Nothobranchius furzeri: one gene and its partner. The protein of the gene in region 1 binds, or shares a complex with, the protein of each later gene. Links are inferred from orthologs where the notes say so. Each region holds a gene or a part of one and is shown on either strand. Other genes may lie near its edges. The genes, in order: lrrc7 and camk2a.

Evidence for each region.
Region 2: the proteins of lrrc7 (region 1) and camk2a are in contact, whole or in part, in a crystal structure (PDB 6X5G), measured with the Homo sapiens proteins. The link is inferred for Nothobranchius furzeri from reciprocal best matches to the Homo sapiens genes LRRC7 and CAMK2A. Residues at the interface, in NP_001357714.1 of Homo sapiens: His843, Gly844, Arg845, Arg846, Pro847, Leu848, Ile849, Arg850, Gln851, Asp852, Arg853, Ile854, Val855; in NP_001350919.1 of Homo sapiens: Glu96, Phe98, Glu99, Ile101, Val102, Lys137, Glu139, Leu159, Phe173, Ala174, Gly175, Thr176, Pro177, Gly178, Tyr179, Leu180, Ile205, Gly209, Tyr210, Pro211, Pro212, Phe213, Trp214, Tyr222, Gln224, Pro233, Glu236.

What each region holds. Positions count from the first base shown.
Region 1 is NC_091748.1:71,482,948-71,490,598, reverse strand, and holds part of lrrc7 (leucine-rich repeat-containing protein 7), read right to left. Parts: coding exon 7,648-7,651; intron 7,347-7,647; coding exon 7,222-7,346; intron 6,162-7,221; coding exon 5,943-6,161; intron 5,761-5,942; coding exon 5,638-5,760; intron 5,458-5,637; coding exon 5,346-5,457; intron 4,079-5,345; coding exon 3,865-4,078; intron 2,375-3,864; coding exon 1,871-2,374; intron 1,342-1,870; coding exon 1,117-1,341; intron 1,042-1,116; coding exon 825-1,041; intron 733-824; coding exon 379-732; intron 214-378; coding exon 1-213.
Region 2 is NC_091750.1:27,046,925-27,054,575, reverse strand, and holds part of camk2a (calcium/calmodulin-dependent protein kinase type II subunit alpha), read right to left. Parts: intron 4,168-7,651; exon of another isoform or gene 4,024-4,167; intron 3,941-4,023; exon of another isoform or gene 3,776-3,940; coding exon 3,735-3,775; exon of another isoform or gene 3,615-3,734; coding exon 3,566-3,614; exon of another isoform or gene 3,520-3,565; intron 3,421-3,519; coding exon 3,345-3,420; intron 2,330-3,344; coding exon 2,235-2,329; intron 2,026-2,234; coding exon 1,797-2,025; intron 1-1,796. UniProt on the Homo sapiens protein: Calcium/calmodulin-dependent protein kinase that functions autonomously after Ca(2+)/calmodulin-binding and autophosphorylation, and is involved in various processes, such as synaptic plasticity, neurotransmitter release and long-term potentiation.

The DNA of each region.
Region 1 (7,651 bases):
CCTAGCTGACAGGGGGCGACGTTGAGTTAGACTTTTGGTTGGGTAACCAATCATTGGCTTCTTCTGTTCTTGGTAAGTGGGATAGTCGTCGTCATAGCGACCGTTCCTTTTATTGTGCATCATTTGATTTTGGTTGTCAGCCATGTTGGTGAGTGCAGAGTGGTCCATGGGGGAGGAATAGGCAAGAGCACGACTATAATGCGGGGGGTCTGACTGAGAGAGTAAAAAGGGGCAAAGGTTTCATCAGGCCATGCAATGAAACTAAGAAGATATATGAGAGCTCCAGATTTAAAAAGTGACTGGTTTGATTTTCAACAAGTAGCTTTTTTAGCACATGCATTAGTCAATTAATGAGCCTAGTTGATATGCCCCCCCCACCTGCTGTTTGTATTGAGCTTCCTGTAGCAGCGCCTCCTGCTGGGCTTCATGAACTCTGCGGAACAAAGCGAGCTCCGTAGAGCTCACCAGAGAATCGGCTCTCCTCAGAAACCCTGGCCTGGAGCGCTGCGTTGAGATTGTTTGATGCTGCTGGCTGGGTGGGCCGTCTTGACTGATTGGTGTTTGAGGGAAAGAAAACATCTCCAGTGGCGGGTATGCCCGATACCGCGGGCTTACTAGCTCTTTGGGCAGTGTCTTTCCTGGTTGATTCAAGTAGTCCATAACCTTTGATGAATGGTTAACGTAATCTGGTGTGTTGGGAAACGGGGGAGGGACTCGACGATCCATGGTCACCTGATTGGGTAAAAAATTTTAAATGAAGATTATTTCATTTAATTGTAATAATAATAATAATCAGAATTCATAAAAGAGAGAAACTGCCTGACCTGTGGGTTGTAGTTTTGGTCAAAGTGATAGGCCTTTTGGGGAATGGCAGGCTTTGGATTGTGGTTGGCTCCATGTCCTGGAAAGATCATCTCATCATCTAACATGGGGGCAGACTGAGATCGTGACATGCTGGTCTGTTCCATAGAGCCAGGGAGCTCGGAGCGGTCCAAGCTAGTCTGCTGCTCAATGGATGAACTATAGCTTTCCATGGGAATACTGCAAAGAGAGAAAACCATTTACGGTCCAACCACACAAAAAAAACTTGCTTTAAAAAACTAGGTCAAATCATACCTGTAGACTTTGTAGGAGCCAATATCGATCTCATCTATGCTCTGAGACTTCTTGAACTTGGATCTTGTCTCCTTCATCATGGGGGACAGGCGGTCTGAGCTTTTACTCATCACAACAGTTACCTTGTTGCCCCCGCCGACAGTGAGCTGATCTTTCCTGTTCTGATCTCCCTGATTGTTGTGATATGTCCAGCTTCCGGGCAAAGGCCCTGAACCTGGATCCAGCCTTGCAGCAAATACATGAGACAAGTCAATGAGGCGGTTAATGGATTAACTAATAATAATTGAAAAAGCTATATTAGAATTGCAGTAGTAAAATACAGATGCTAATGAAGCTGTGTGATTGCGGTGAAATGATCTCAGTAAGTTAGGCAGTTATATTCCACTGTATGTATTTGTTGGACCAGTTGAACATTTCTGTGCAAGACTCCAAATATTTGGGCAGGTGTTTCCCAGGAGCAGAGTGACTGTCGCTTGATCCAAAACCTTGTTGGCAGGATGCAGGATCACGCCCCCCCCCCCACTGTATCTTTCTAAGTGGATTTAAATCCAACCGATTTGGATATTGGATGAAATAGAAAATAAACAAATTAGTCTTCGCTATACACGTAACAAACAAAAATAAAATGCCCTGCAATTTTTTAAGTAATAATTTAATAACTTCATAGTTACTCATTCAAATAATGCAAAAAATGACTAATGAAGCAATACAAACAATTTTCCGAGTTAAAACCGTCTGATTTCCTGTTCCTTACCTTGAGTCCATGTCCTTCCGATCGGGGTTGGGGCTTGACGTTGGGGTTAGGTCCAACTTTGAAGGGAAAGCAGTCCTATCTTCCAGCGGGCTTGGGGTCCTAGTCCAATTCTGCCAGGGGTTCTGGGAATGAGGCCCAGAGGACTGTGGATCACTGTCCGGATTAGAACGTTGGTTACCATGATAGGAGAGTGTCTGGGTGTCCAGCTCCAGGGGGACTCCTACAATTCGATCTTGCCTGAGGAGAGGGCGGCGTCCATGGGCCGACTGGCTGCGGGGTTTGGAGCCCAGTGGAGGGTTTCCCTGGCTGGTATTAGATGGGGGGTCCAGAGGAGACTCTTCCGCGTCAAACCCTGTGTTATCATAGTGAGGGGCCTCAGCCCAGTCAAAAGGCTCGCTGAGTGGACGGCGGTCTCCACGTTGCTGTAGGGTCCCTGATGGAGGGGTTTCCCTCTGAGAAAGCAGGGGCTTGGAGTCAATGGGTTTGGGAAATGACTGGGCAAGTCTACAAAGATGGGAGAAATAACAGCTAATCATACAGTGAAGATTGTTAAAAATGCTGTGCTACATTAACGAGTATTATGATGTGCGTCAAAGGGAGATGAGAACTGCATGCCTACCAACCAACTAATGCCACTTACACACTAGCATCCACTCCGCTCCGCCTGCCCCAGCCCGGCTGCGTTCGTTCCACACTACCTTAGCAACGTGGGCGTGATTGAGTACATGGGCAGTATGTGGTCTGTGATGTCACAAGCACATGTAGGCGGGGCAAACGAGCGCAGAGAAGTCTGCAGTATCTCCATTATTAAACAAAAGTTGCCTGAGCAGTCTTGCTTTTGGAGACTCTCACATCTGCGGGCTGATTCTTTCTGCCAATCGGAGGCTTCCCCTAATGGTAGGTGTGCTTTGAGCTGGCCAATCAGTCAGCAGTGGGCGTGTTGGGCCAGTTTGGCTCCAGGCAGATCTCCTCAGGAAGAGGGCTGAAAAGACGTCCGGTTGCAGGTGGGAAATTCCAAGGCCGCCTAAAGGAGAACACTCCCATACTGGTCCAGGCAGAGTGGAGCCGATGCTAGTGTGTAAGGGCCAGTAACATTTGGTGGATTATGGGCCTACTGATATTATATATGGGTGTCGGAAATTAAGAGTTGGTCTATATCAAATATTGGTAAAAAAAGCTGATATTGGACATTCCTATATATGTCTGAAAACAAAAATAACATTTCCCAAAGTATTCAAACTCCATTTCTGCGTCAAATGCAATGTTTTGCAAGGATGCAGCCCCTGAAAAAAAGGAATATAGTGCACCGACTGTCATGTGCGTACCCCAGGGCATGTGAAATAACAAAACAAATGTCAAAAAATACCAAAAAGACATGTCCCTCTGCAGGGGTTCCTCAGAGCACACAGAGCCCCAGAGGCATTGGAAGTGAGGGAGAAGTAAACATATTTACCAAGAGTATGTGCATTCCCATGTGTTGATACTGAAAAATACTTGTCTGTCATAAATCACAACCTGAATCAAATTTATTTGAAACGATTTAGGTGATAATGTAATAAATGTGGTATGCAAGCTAGTATTAATATTTTGCTGATTTTTGTTGTGACATTTCTAATAGAAGATGGATTAAAAACATGTTTTATTATCACGTGTTTTTTAGCTCCAGGTCCACTACAACCAGAATAACGACTTGAACAAAAGTACCATAAAGTAATTATAGTAAAATAATCTCACAATAAAAATAATTGCTTGTCTGAATCTGAGGAGAAACGAGGTGAGAAAAAAACATCCTGAATGCACGTCTGCAGCATCCTAATGAGCCTCTCTGATCTTGATGGAGCAAACAGAGAGATGAGGAGGGTACACAGAGATGGAGGGAAGGAAAGACGGATAGCGACTGGATAGGGGGATGAGATACGTGACGGATTTGAACTAAAGAAGAAGATGACACAGATGGTTGGAAGGAAACCCAAATGGTTAGAAAGTGTGTGTACCTGTTGGTCCAGTGTGACTGGGGGACCTGGTCCTTACTGGGAGGCGGCAGGGCAGGAGTGTGTGTGTGGGGGTGAGAATGTGTGTGTGAGTGTGTGTTTGCAGACGGATTGGAGGAGCCAGAGGAGCCTTGTGAGGGAGAGTAGTCCGAGTAGGTTGCAGAGGAGCCGCTGTGGTTCAGACAGTGGAGTTTATCTACGTCCTCGTCTGTGGACTCTGGACGGAGACAGACGCAGAAGGACAAATGCTGATATTCACTGAAAATGTCACATCTTCACTCTAACAGCCTCTTGCTCTTGAGCTGACAAGAATACAGATAAAAAGATACCTCTCCAAGCTTTTTTACTTTTTGTCTTTTTAAGAAATACAAAACGAGCAACTTCTGCTTGAAAAGGCAAATTGAGGCGTTTTTCCTGAACAAATCATGAAATATAATTTAGCAACAATGATAATTTGGATTATTTTCAAGTTTAAGACGTCCATGGAACAAAGAGAAAAAATATGATATACATGGTGAATCAACCTTTAAAGCCTGACGTGTGTAATTATGACAAGTGAAGGCTACGTTCATACTGCAGACAGCACATCAAATCCACTTTTTCCCCCACATGCGACCCATATCTGACTTTTTTGTGTACTTTCTCCTCCAGCTAAATTCTCCGTGCCGACACAGATAGCAAATCAACCATCGTTTACATTTTTGCATGAAGTATTAGTTGTGACTGCTCGTTTTCTTTTTCTGTTTGTTTTGAGGTAATTATTTGTCTCTTTGAATTCTACGTTGTTGTACTTTTTATTTAATTTTTTTTGTGTTCAAAATAAAGATAAATAAATAAAATAAGTAAAGTAGAAGAAAAAGAAGAAACCATCTTTTAATAACGCCTCTCAAGACAAAAATCACAAGGACACTTTTTAGAAATCAAGAACAAAAATTCAATGATTACAAACTACAATAAACATTAAAAAGGGATGATCAAAAGTTTAAATTTCTATTAGTCACTGCTAATAAATAACAAACCACACGAAAAAGGTGTTTCAATCAGTGATGTAGAACAGTTACGGGCTGCAGAGATCACAGAGTGTCGCATCTTTATTTTTCCTTTTGTATTAATCAACAGTATCAAAGCAGCATTTGCATTAATAATTTAAACCCACCAAAAGACACGCTACGTAAATTATTTTACAACTTGTTCCCTGGAGAAAAAGCAGATTGATTAAAGCTTTTTTTTTGATCCAGAGTTTAAGATGTGATCTCAGACGATGCGATTAAAGCATTAAATTATTTAACGCTAAAACAGAGTTTTGATGAGGCATTAAGATGAGCTTTGTTTTCCTCAGATGAAACTGAAGCCTTCAGGGCAGAATAAGCGAAGCAGGATGAACTAAACGCTGCTTCTAGTAGGCAGAAGCTTACAATTACTGCAGAGGTTCTTAGCACTTTCTCTCTGTGTGTCTCTTTGTGAGGCACAACATAATATCGTACCTTTCTTATCCTTCCCCAGCAGCACCACCTTTGGTTTGTACATGGGCGGCTCCACCAGAGTGGGTCTCATGTCCGAGATACGGATGTCGTTGGGAGAACCACCCATGGAGTCCTATAGGGGGGAAAGAGATGTTTATGTTTATGTATTTAGCAGACGCTTTTGTCCAAAGTGACTTACAAGTGATATGGTGAGATTGACATCCTAGGGTAACAAAAATCCTGCATAAAAACCACTCTGCATGCAGAAATCATGTTTGTGTTCTTTAAGTGTGTTTTTGTGTTTATGACAAACCTCCGAGCTCTCTGTTAAATCCTCTTTGTCCTTCCTCTTGGGAATGTCGATGCCAGAGTTATGCATCGATCCCTGATCCATCAGCTGGGACTGAGAGAAGTCCTGCATCTCTCTGTCCGTCACCTGATAAAACAGTTTATTTTTTCACATTAAGTCACGTTTTTGGCTCAAATCTAACTAAGTTCCTAGCTAAGTCTGGTTAAAGGTGTTTGTCTCCTTCCTTGTAAATGTTATTTTCATTCTGACCAGTGCTCAGTCTCTTTTTTCTTTGAGTGGTTTACTGCCTGAGTATCTTTTATTTTTACCTCTTTGGGAGGCAGGGGCCATGGTGGTTCATATGGCTCTTTGCTGAGGTGCGTATGCTCCATGTTGGTTCCTGCTGAGGTGGCACTGCCCGTGCTCAGCTGGTGCTGGTGCGCATGGCCAGGATGTCCGCCTTTACCCACGAGACTTTGCACCGACTTAACCATGTTCTTGAGGTCCTCGGGGTAGGGGGTCGGGTAGCGCTTCAAGTTTATTTCAACCTTCAATGAAAAAACGTGAAAAATCCAGATTAGTTTATCTATTTTGTTGTTTTAAAGGTGCAATATGTAAGAACGAAGTAAGATTGACATTCTGTGGTCAAATGTGGTTACTGCAATCCATTTTTCTAAACAAAAAGTTACTTTCTCTCTGTCGTTCAGTGAGTTTGATGGTTGTTGCCAGTTATGGATCAATGCCAGAAGATTCTAGATGACAAGTGAAGACGAGTCATACACAGTCAGTAGATAAGTAGATAAACAGATTGTCGTATATGGAGTTAGCACTCTCGGGTGGGTTAGGGTTAGGGAGCGCTTACCTATTACAGTAATATGCCTCCAGCATCAGAGGAGGTGTAGTTATATGCCATCTTGCTGTTAGCTTGCTGAACGACTCATTACAGGAAGTAAAGTGCCACGATTGACTAATCATTCACTTCACACATACATTTCACTGGGATATCAACATGTTGGCAATTAAAAAATTAGCTTGTGATATTTTAGATCTGACTATTTATTTTAACAAGTGAATTTCGCCACTGTGGGGGTCAATAAAGTCTATTTTATTCTATTCTAATTCACCGTTAGCGCGGTTAGCTCAACGTTCACCCAATATTAGAGTAAAACAAAAACAAAACATAATTTCTGGGTCGCTTCTGTTTACTGGCTTTGGATCTTTAAACAACTCTTGAGCTTTTTTGCCTGCTGGTGTTAAATTGCAAATGTTGGCGCTGCTGCGTTAGCTTGACGCAGACTCAGCAACCTCTCCAAACTCACTGACACAGTAAACTACGCCCTTTTGGCCATTTTGAAAGGAGAAAATCTGACAATCCCCAGCCGGCTGACAATGAAATCTGTTTCAGTGTAACCTTCCTTCTTGCATGATTGAGACGTTAGAGTATTTTGTGATTGTTTCACTGTAGAATTCTTACACATATCTCTTTTAACCATCTGCTTCGCACATTTCGCTTCAACAACTGACTACAGTATCAGACTCATACTTCTTATTGTACAATACTACTGGCTTTACGTAATACTCATTGAGTTAAAGTGACGAAGGTCTGACCTTGACTTTCCCAGAGTTGTCTTCTTCATCTTTCTTGTCCTCAAAATCAAAGGCGACAGTCATCCTCTGCTGCCTTTGCTCCTCCCACAGTGTAGGATTAAAGCTGTCACTGTCTGACTGGTAATCTGAACACATACAAGAACATAGCAGCGATTAATGATCAGGCTTGTACTTCTACTGCAGTAAACTGTCAGGTACACGTGTCTGCTGGTCCACATGGAGCGTATAACAACACACAGCATACCTAAGTGTAATCAAACCAACTCAAAACATGCTGTGACCTTTTCTAAATGTCCTAAAACAAGATTCATACGCTGAATCTCTTTCTTTCTCTCTCTCTCTCTCTCTCTCTCTCTCTCTCTCTCTCTCTCACACACACACACACACACACACACACACACACACACACACACACACAGTATGTACCCTC
Region 2 (7,651 bases), on another chromosome or scaffold:
ACCTGCAGTCTGAGAGCGAAGTGCTAGGTTAGGAACGTATGGAACAACCAGGTCACTGATGTACGATGGAGCTTGAATATTAATTAATCTATGTGAAGCACTTTGTGGTTCTATGTCTGTGATGAGTGCTATAGAAATAACATTTACTTACTTACTAGAGCTGCGTGTCATTCACAAAGCAGTGGAACTGAATGTTAAATATGGGACCTAAAGGAAGAAGGTAAATAATAAAGACAAGTGGCCCCCGGACAGGGCCCTGGGGCACACCTCTAATAACTGGAGAGTTGAGTTGTATGAACTGAGAACGACCAGAGAGACATGAGTGAAATCAGCTGAGTACATTATGGGAAATGCCAATGGATGACAACCTGTCTACATGAGTAGAATGGTAAATGGCCTGTATTTGATACAGCACCTTCTAGAGTCCTGGAACTGCGGGAAAGTCGTGCAGTTTGAGCTGAATGTGAGTGCTATGAGTGAAAAAGTCACACAGTGTCCGCCCGGCTTTAGGGGAGTTGGTTACTGTGTTGGCTATGGTCCTGATGAAGTCCTGATGAGTGACTCATTCACAGCCCCTGATTACTCTTAGCTGGCCCAACCGGAGCTACTACACAACAGGGTTACCCACAGATGGGTTTCTTCCTCTTTCCGAATGGCAGATAGTACAAAGATAAGAAAGACGATACTTGCACTAACAGACACTCAAGGCCCTTCCGTGCTACTAGAAGATTATAGACACCTGTGATGATGCCTTGAATAACACGTTCCTTTGGTCATTCCTAGGGGTACCATCATTTTTGTCCAGGCCTGTTTCATGAGTTTGTTTTAATAATTCTGTTGAAAAGAAATGTCTGACTTTCACTGGTTACCTTTCAGAGAATTGTTATCTACTTTTATGTTTCTCAGATTCAAGTTACGCCTGTGACCATTCATCCATGGCAGTTGATTAACAGGCTTCTGCGGAGCTTAATGAGCTGCTGAAAAGATGAATCAAGTATGTTGGAGAAAGGAAACAACTAAAACATGGTGGATAGCGGCTCTCGAGAACCAGGGAAGTTTTTTTGCGTTGAATCCATCCCACTCAAAAGGATTTCAGAAAACGGATTCTTGACAGCTTCAGGACCTTCCAGCATGAGCAGTTTCAGGGCTCAGCCACTTTAAGAATACAAGCTGGAGTTGGCCACGCCCACCCTTCCCCAATCAGGTTGCTATAAGCTCTTATTTCTGGGAGGGGCTCAAGCCTAATTTAAGTAGAACTGATGCTGATCAGAATATCTGTGGCTTCTGGACATGCTGCCCTTCACACCAACTGGGAATCGTGTGTGCACGGGTTCATGTGACAACAGCTACGTGTAGAGAGGCGCCCGAAAACAAAAGCCACACTCGTCTGCTCGTACTATCACACACTGCGAACTGATATTCCTTTCATTAATGATGCAACACGGCTTTTGTTTTGAAATGAACCAGGTACACTTTGGTGCATCTGCATCATGTCACTTCCTGTCTGGCTCATGTCATTTCCTTAACTTCATGAAGATCCACAAGTGGCATCTGGAAAAAGCTGCAACCAAGTGGAAAGACTCTGCTGCTCCGCCCCACAGCCGGCGTGAATGAGGGCAGAGCCGCTGCTCCTCCAGCATGAGAGGTGGTTCTGGTCTCATTCACTTTTGTTAGATAGCTTGTTTATATAGATGTGGGGCGGCGGCCCTCATGGCAGCAAGGACAGTGGGTTTTACAAACATGTCTCATCGCATCAACAGAGGTCTGAGGGTCTGGCCCGTGGGTGCTGATCTTACTTGTTGAGGGTGGAGGGAGAGCCTGAGCGATGGAAGTGGACAATTTGCCACTTGCCATCGCGGCGGTGCCACACCCGGGTCTCCTCTGATTGGGCGGTCCGAGGAGTGCCGTTGGAGTCGATGTACTGAGTCACTCTGATGTAAGCAATGCAGGCGGCCTCGTCACCCACCAGGTGGATGTGGGGGTTCAGGATGGTGGTGTGGACTGGTTTACTGTTTTTGGACCACACTGCCCTCCCACCACACACACACACACACACACACACACACACACACACACACACACACACACACACACACACACACACACACACACACACACACACACACACACACACACACACACACACACACACACACACACACACACACACACACACAGGTTACCAGAGTAAATCGCTCTAATGAGAGGAAGCTCTAAAACCAATTTCTACTCACAGTTTTCAAAGTAAAAGCGATGGAAGTCCAGTCCTTCCACCAAGTTCCCCAAAGCCTCAGGTTCGAAGGCTGTCACAGCCGGGTCGCACATCTTACTGAGGAGAGACAAGATAGAAGGTTGCCGACAGGAAGTAACCCACCAGGGATATGGGAAGAATTCTCTGAAACCACAAAACTTTTATTTTATGGTTCCACCTAATTAAAGACCAACTGTTTTATAAAGGTGGGAAAGTTCAGTTCATACATTTTAAAATTAACAAGTTCATTTCTATTTCATAAACTAGGTTCACAGTTCCAAAAATATATATATAAATGAATTAAAAAAAATATATATATATTGCCCAGGGGCCCATATGGTTAATCCGGCCTTGGGTTTAGTTCGTTTTTAAAGCTCAGTTTTAAGTTTTTCATTTAAAAACAATCATTTAAATATAACAAAAGAACCCGTTAAAAGCACCAGAATGTGGGAAATGACACCTGCTCACTAAAGTCTTTCTGTGGGAGACGCCCAGACCAGCTCCCCATCACCTGATGTCCTCCGTCTGTCTCTGTCCTCAGAGCTGAGGACAAGCCTGGGACATGTAGCTGACATGTCTCAGTCTTTGTCTCTTCTCAGGGGAGCAGAAACTTGTTAGCAGAAGGCTTTGCTGCTCTAAGAGCAGGGACACATAGAAAACATGCACCCACTGTGGCCTTCAAGGACCAGGTCTGCTCTCCTGTTAATGTTCACAATCACTGGTCCTTTCATTTGGTGTGTGTGTGTGTGTGTGTGTGTGTGTGTGTGTGTGTGTGTGTGTGTGTGTGTGTGTGTGTGTGTGTGCGTTCATTCATGTTCCCACTCCCTGTAGACATCCTGTTAGAGTTTATAACACAGGATTTTTCATAACTTGGCAAAATTGATGTTAAAAAATATTTTTCATCTAAACTTTTTTACCGAGCAGCTTTTGGTTCTTACACCTAAAAGTCGCCACTGAGCGACAAAAAAGGACTTTTCTTTTGTGATGAATGCACTGATCTCACCTCACAGCACAATTGTCCTGTAGTCGATCTGAGGTTCACTTCAAAGTCAACAAACAAACAAACAAACAAAGATGGTTGAATGTTACATACGTGTAGCTTTCAAAGTCGCCGTTGCTGATGGCCTCGATGAGCTGCTCTGTGACTTTAATGATGTCCTGCTTTCTCACTGAATCACACACACACACACACACACACACACACACACACACACACACACACACACACACACACACACACACACACACACACACACACACATTAGACTCTCTGGAGCATTGCAGCAGCAGGTCAGTGGATCGGCTGGTGTTCACCTCTGGTATCTTCATCCTCGATGGTGGTGTTGGTGCTTTCAGACGATTCCTGCAAGCACAGAAACGGTCAGGCATCAGCCCTGCTCTGGTTCTGGTTCTGTTGGGTTCATGCATTCTACAGGTGTGTCTGGTGTTTGAACCCGCCACCTGCTGACAGCTGCAGTGTTACCTTCACTCCGTCTGCCTTCTTGTTGCTGCCACTCTTCCCTCCTGAACAAGGGATGAAAACAAAGAGACACAGAAGAACCAAAGTGAGGAAGAAAGGAACAAATGCAGAGAAGAGCAGCAACGGCATCGTACAGACAGCTGCTGCCAATGTTCCTTTTGGCAAACCTGCTGTCCTAAGAGGGCAATACAACCAGCAGCAGCTCACAGGTGACAATTTAAATTTTGGAGAATAAAAAAGAACGGCGAACTGTTTTAGGTTCAGGGCTAGTGACTGTGTTTCCTGTCTCCAGTCTGACGGGCCAAGCGAGCTCTTCACACGACACGTGGGCCACGCTGAGAGCTGAGGCCAAATTTAGGATGAACTTGAGACGGCAGCAGAGCAGAAAGCGTGCACACATTCCTGAGCGTCCCACCGGGACCTCCCAGTCCTCCAGGTCTACAGAGACATTGTGTGAACAATAATCTCTCTTTCAGAAATGGAAAACTTTGTATTGTTGACTTCGTACAGTCAGACAAGCTGCTGGAGCTAGCTGGAGCACACACACTCAGGTTCTGGTTCTGGTGAAGATCTTAGCTGGTAGCAGCATTACACCTGCTGTCCTTGCCACACCTGTGCCAGATGCTCAGGGAAACATCACTTAGCTGTAAAGACTCTGACACTAGTCAGTGACTCGATGCGACCTAATGGGTTCCTCACATTGGAAACTTGCTACTGATTGGCTTAATGACCTGACCTGACCTGTGTTGTTTACTGTGTGAAGGTCCCGGAGACCACTCTGGTCCTGATTCGGTGCTTTATAAATAAACTTGAATTGAATTGAGGTCACAAACCTCTGTTACTCTACTGAGCATGTGCAAATGGCTGCAGATGATTGGCAGAGCAGGTTTGGCATTCTGCTATTTATGTGCGTGAGCAGCAGCTGCCACGCCCTGCAGATTCACACAGGCATGTGTGTGTGTGTGTGTGTGTGTGTGTGTGTGTGTGTGTGTGGGGGGGGGGGGGGGGGGCATTTGTTCCAAGTGCCCAAAACGCCCTTTTTTCTGTCTCCGTCTGTTTAAACCATCCACAGCTGTCCCACAGGTCAGGCACTAGGACCGTGTAGAAGGCCTCCAGCTGAAGCCTATTTTCCCTGTAACGTCCAGCAATGGTCAGTTTGTAGGTACTGTTTGACCATTCAACATCCGGTCCAAAAGGAGACACAAGACTGCATGTGTTCCCTTTAAATTGGCCTGCCTTCATCCAACCAGCTGGAGCTCAGAGCCTCTCTGCAGCTCTGAACACATGATAACGAAATGTCAACAATAATGTTCTCTCCTCAAGGTGCATCCTTATCGTCCTACAGGATTCTTCATGCCTAACACTCGCGGCTCGAATCAGTTGCTAAATCAAATAATGATTTCCTAAGTTAAATATGAACTTCTAACTTATAAGCTAGATAATCATTAAATAAATGTTTGTTTATTGCTACTTATAATAATTATAATATAATGAAATGTTTCATTAATCTGTGCTCAATAACTGAAGTTTGAAATGAATGTTATGTTATGATTACAGTGATTGAAATATGTTTCAGCATGTTAATATGACGAGGTCATCACCACTTGCACTCACACAAGAACAAAGTAAGGTTAAGTTAAACTCATGACACATAGATAGCCTTTACCCCAGATCAGAGCCTCTGGATCAAGGAAGGTGTTTCTGAGTTGTCTTGGTAATTTTCCTCAACATGCCAACCTCTGGTTGGCTACACAAATCATAACATGAGAACATTAAAACTGGACCACTCTGGTGATTCACCACTCTGGTGATTCAGCAGTTCTAGAGAAAGCTTCAGACCGGCCATCTGAAGCAAGACCCTCTTTAACCCATTAAAGCTTTTGACATGTCATCAAAATCTTTTTGCACCTGCGAAGCTGATACAGCAAAACAGTTCCTGCAGAACAAGCTGATATTGTTCAGACTCCTTAAGAGTCCCAGACGCGCGGTTCCATCCATCTGTCATGACCCGAGACATCTCTGGACTGAAGGGTTGGTGCCACGGTATTCTACAGCCCTTCGGTGCCAGAGGTCATCTGACCTCTCTGACCTTTGGATCCACCAAGAGGGTCTCCGAGAACGGGTGAAGTAGACACACAGATAGCGTCTGATGTGCTTTTGATAATAATCAACTTCATAGCTTAACGCAAACCCAAATTCTTTTACATCCAGAACTCAGCTCTCCTAGACACGGAAGTTCTGACAACATTGCATTCACATCTAGCTCCATCCATCACAGTAAATGTTAGTTAACTTGTCATGTTTTACTTGTTGGTAAAATAAATTCTTACTTTTATAAACGTGACTCTTTTCAAAATCAAAACAAAGTGTTTACAATCCCCCAATAAACAACGAATCCTAGAATCTTCTGATTAACACAGTAAAGACTAAGGAGGTTGATATTCTCTATTTAGATAGAGTATCACAGCTTATTGGTCATAAGTAGAGGTAATATATATATATTGAGCTCTTAAAGGACTCAAGTCCTAAACCCTACATCCCTCAGACCTGCCCACAAGCTCACTGATTGGATCTGCCACGTCATACTATCGTTGTCTGGCTGTCGGCAAGAGGTCACGTTTATCTACCTCAGAGTTTTTCTCTGCCTGCTTCACATCAGCTCATGATCACATTAACATTTGAGTCCGTGGTTAGAGAGTGTGTGTGTGTGTGTGTGCGCGCGCGCGTGTGTGTGTACGAGTCATGGTGGATGGCTGCTTATACTGAGCCAGGATTCTCTGAAGGTTTCTTCCTGTTAAAAGGGGGTTTTCCTCTCTACTGTCACTGCATGCATGCTTAGTATGAGGATTGCTGTAAAGACTCTGACACTAGTCAGTGACTTGATACAACCTGCTGGGATCCTTATACAGAAAACATTTTACTGTGTGAAGGTCCTTGAGACAACTCTTGTCCTGATTTGGTGTTATAGGAAAAAACCTGAATTGAATTGCTGTACTTTGTCATTAAGTAGTCCCAAGTTTAAAATGGTGCCTGTGATTACTTTGTTACTATTTATTTTCACCTACAGTCCTACTGATTATTTAGGTCACCAAGCAGAACTGCGATCACTGCCGAGTGATTTTAAGGATGTTTTTACTCACAATGCTATTTGGATCTATTCACCTACTGTGTTTCATGCTAGGCTACAGCTAAAGCAGTACAGCTGGGGTGTTTCTCAATGTCAAGGAACCTTGCCTTGATGTCTTGCCTAGGAGATACGTCATCAGGAGCCGCCAAGACGCGTTCCAATCGGTTCTAATGTTCATGTTCTACCGAGGCGTGTTTAGCTAGCTGAGCAAGGCCACACGGGAGGTGTCTTGTAGCCTAGCCTTGGTCAAAAATTACCCACAATACACCGCAGTATTTTCAAAAAGATGGCGGACCAGAAGCTGGCAGCTACTTCGGGGACAATTTTCAAGTTAAAAAGTAAGTCAGCTAATTTAAAACGTTATTTTAGATCCAAAGAAGTTATCTATTGTTGGTTAGTTGCTTAGTAGTTGCAGCTTCGGTGGCCAGCGGGTAGTAACTCACTTATATTTTTAATTTAATAAACATATACACAATTTAAAAAGTAAAAGTCTCGTTATATATTTATATTGAAACTAATACATATAAAATATAACATTATCTCCCGTGTCACGTGATGCAAGTCTGTTCCATTTAACCGTTTTCGTTGACCGAGGAAGGACAGTGTCCTCGTAGGCAAGGCGCCTGGCCTTGCAAGACATCGCCTCGCAAGGCAAGGCACCTTGACATTGAGAAACACTCCTGATGTAACGAGGCGGTGGTTACTTTTAATAGATTGTCAATAGAATAAAAAGGTATTCAATAAAATGTAATATTCCATAAAATATGGATCATCAATATTATTGACCGTTTAA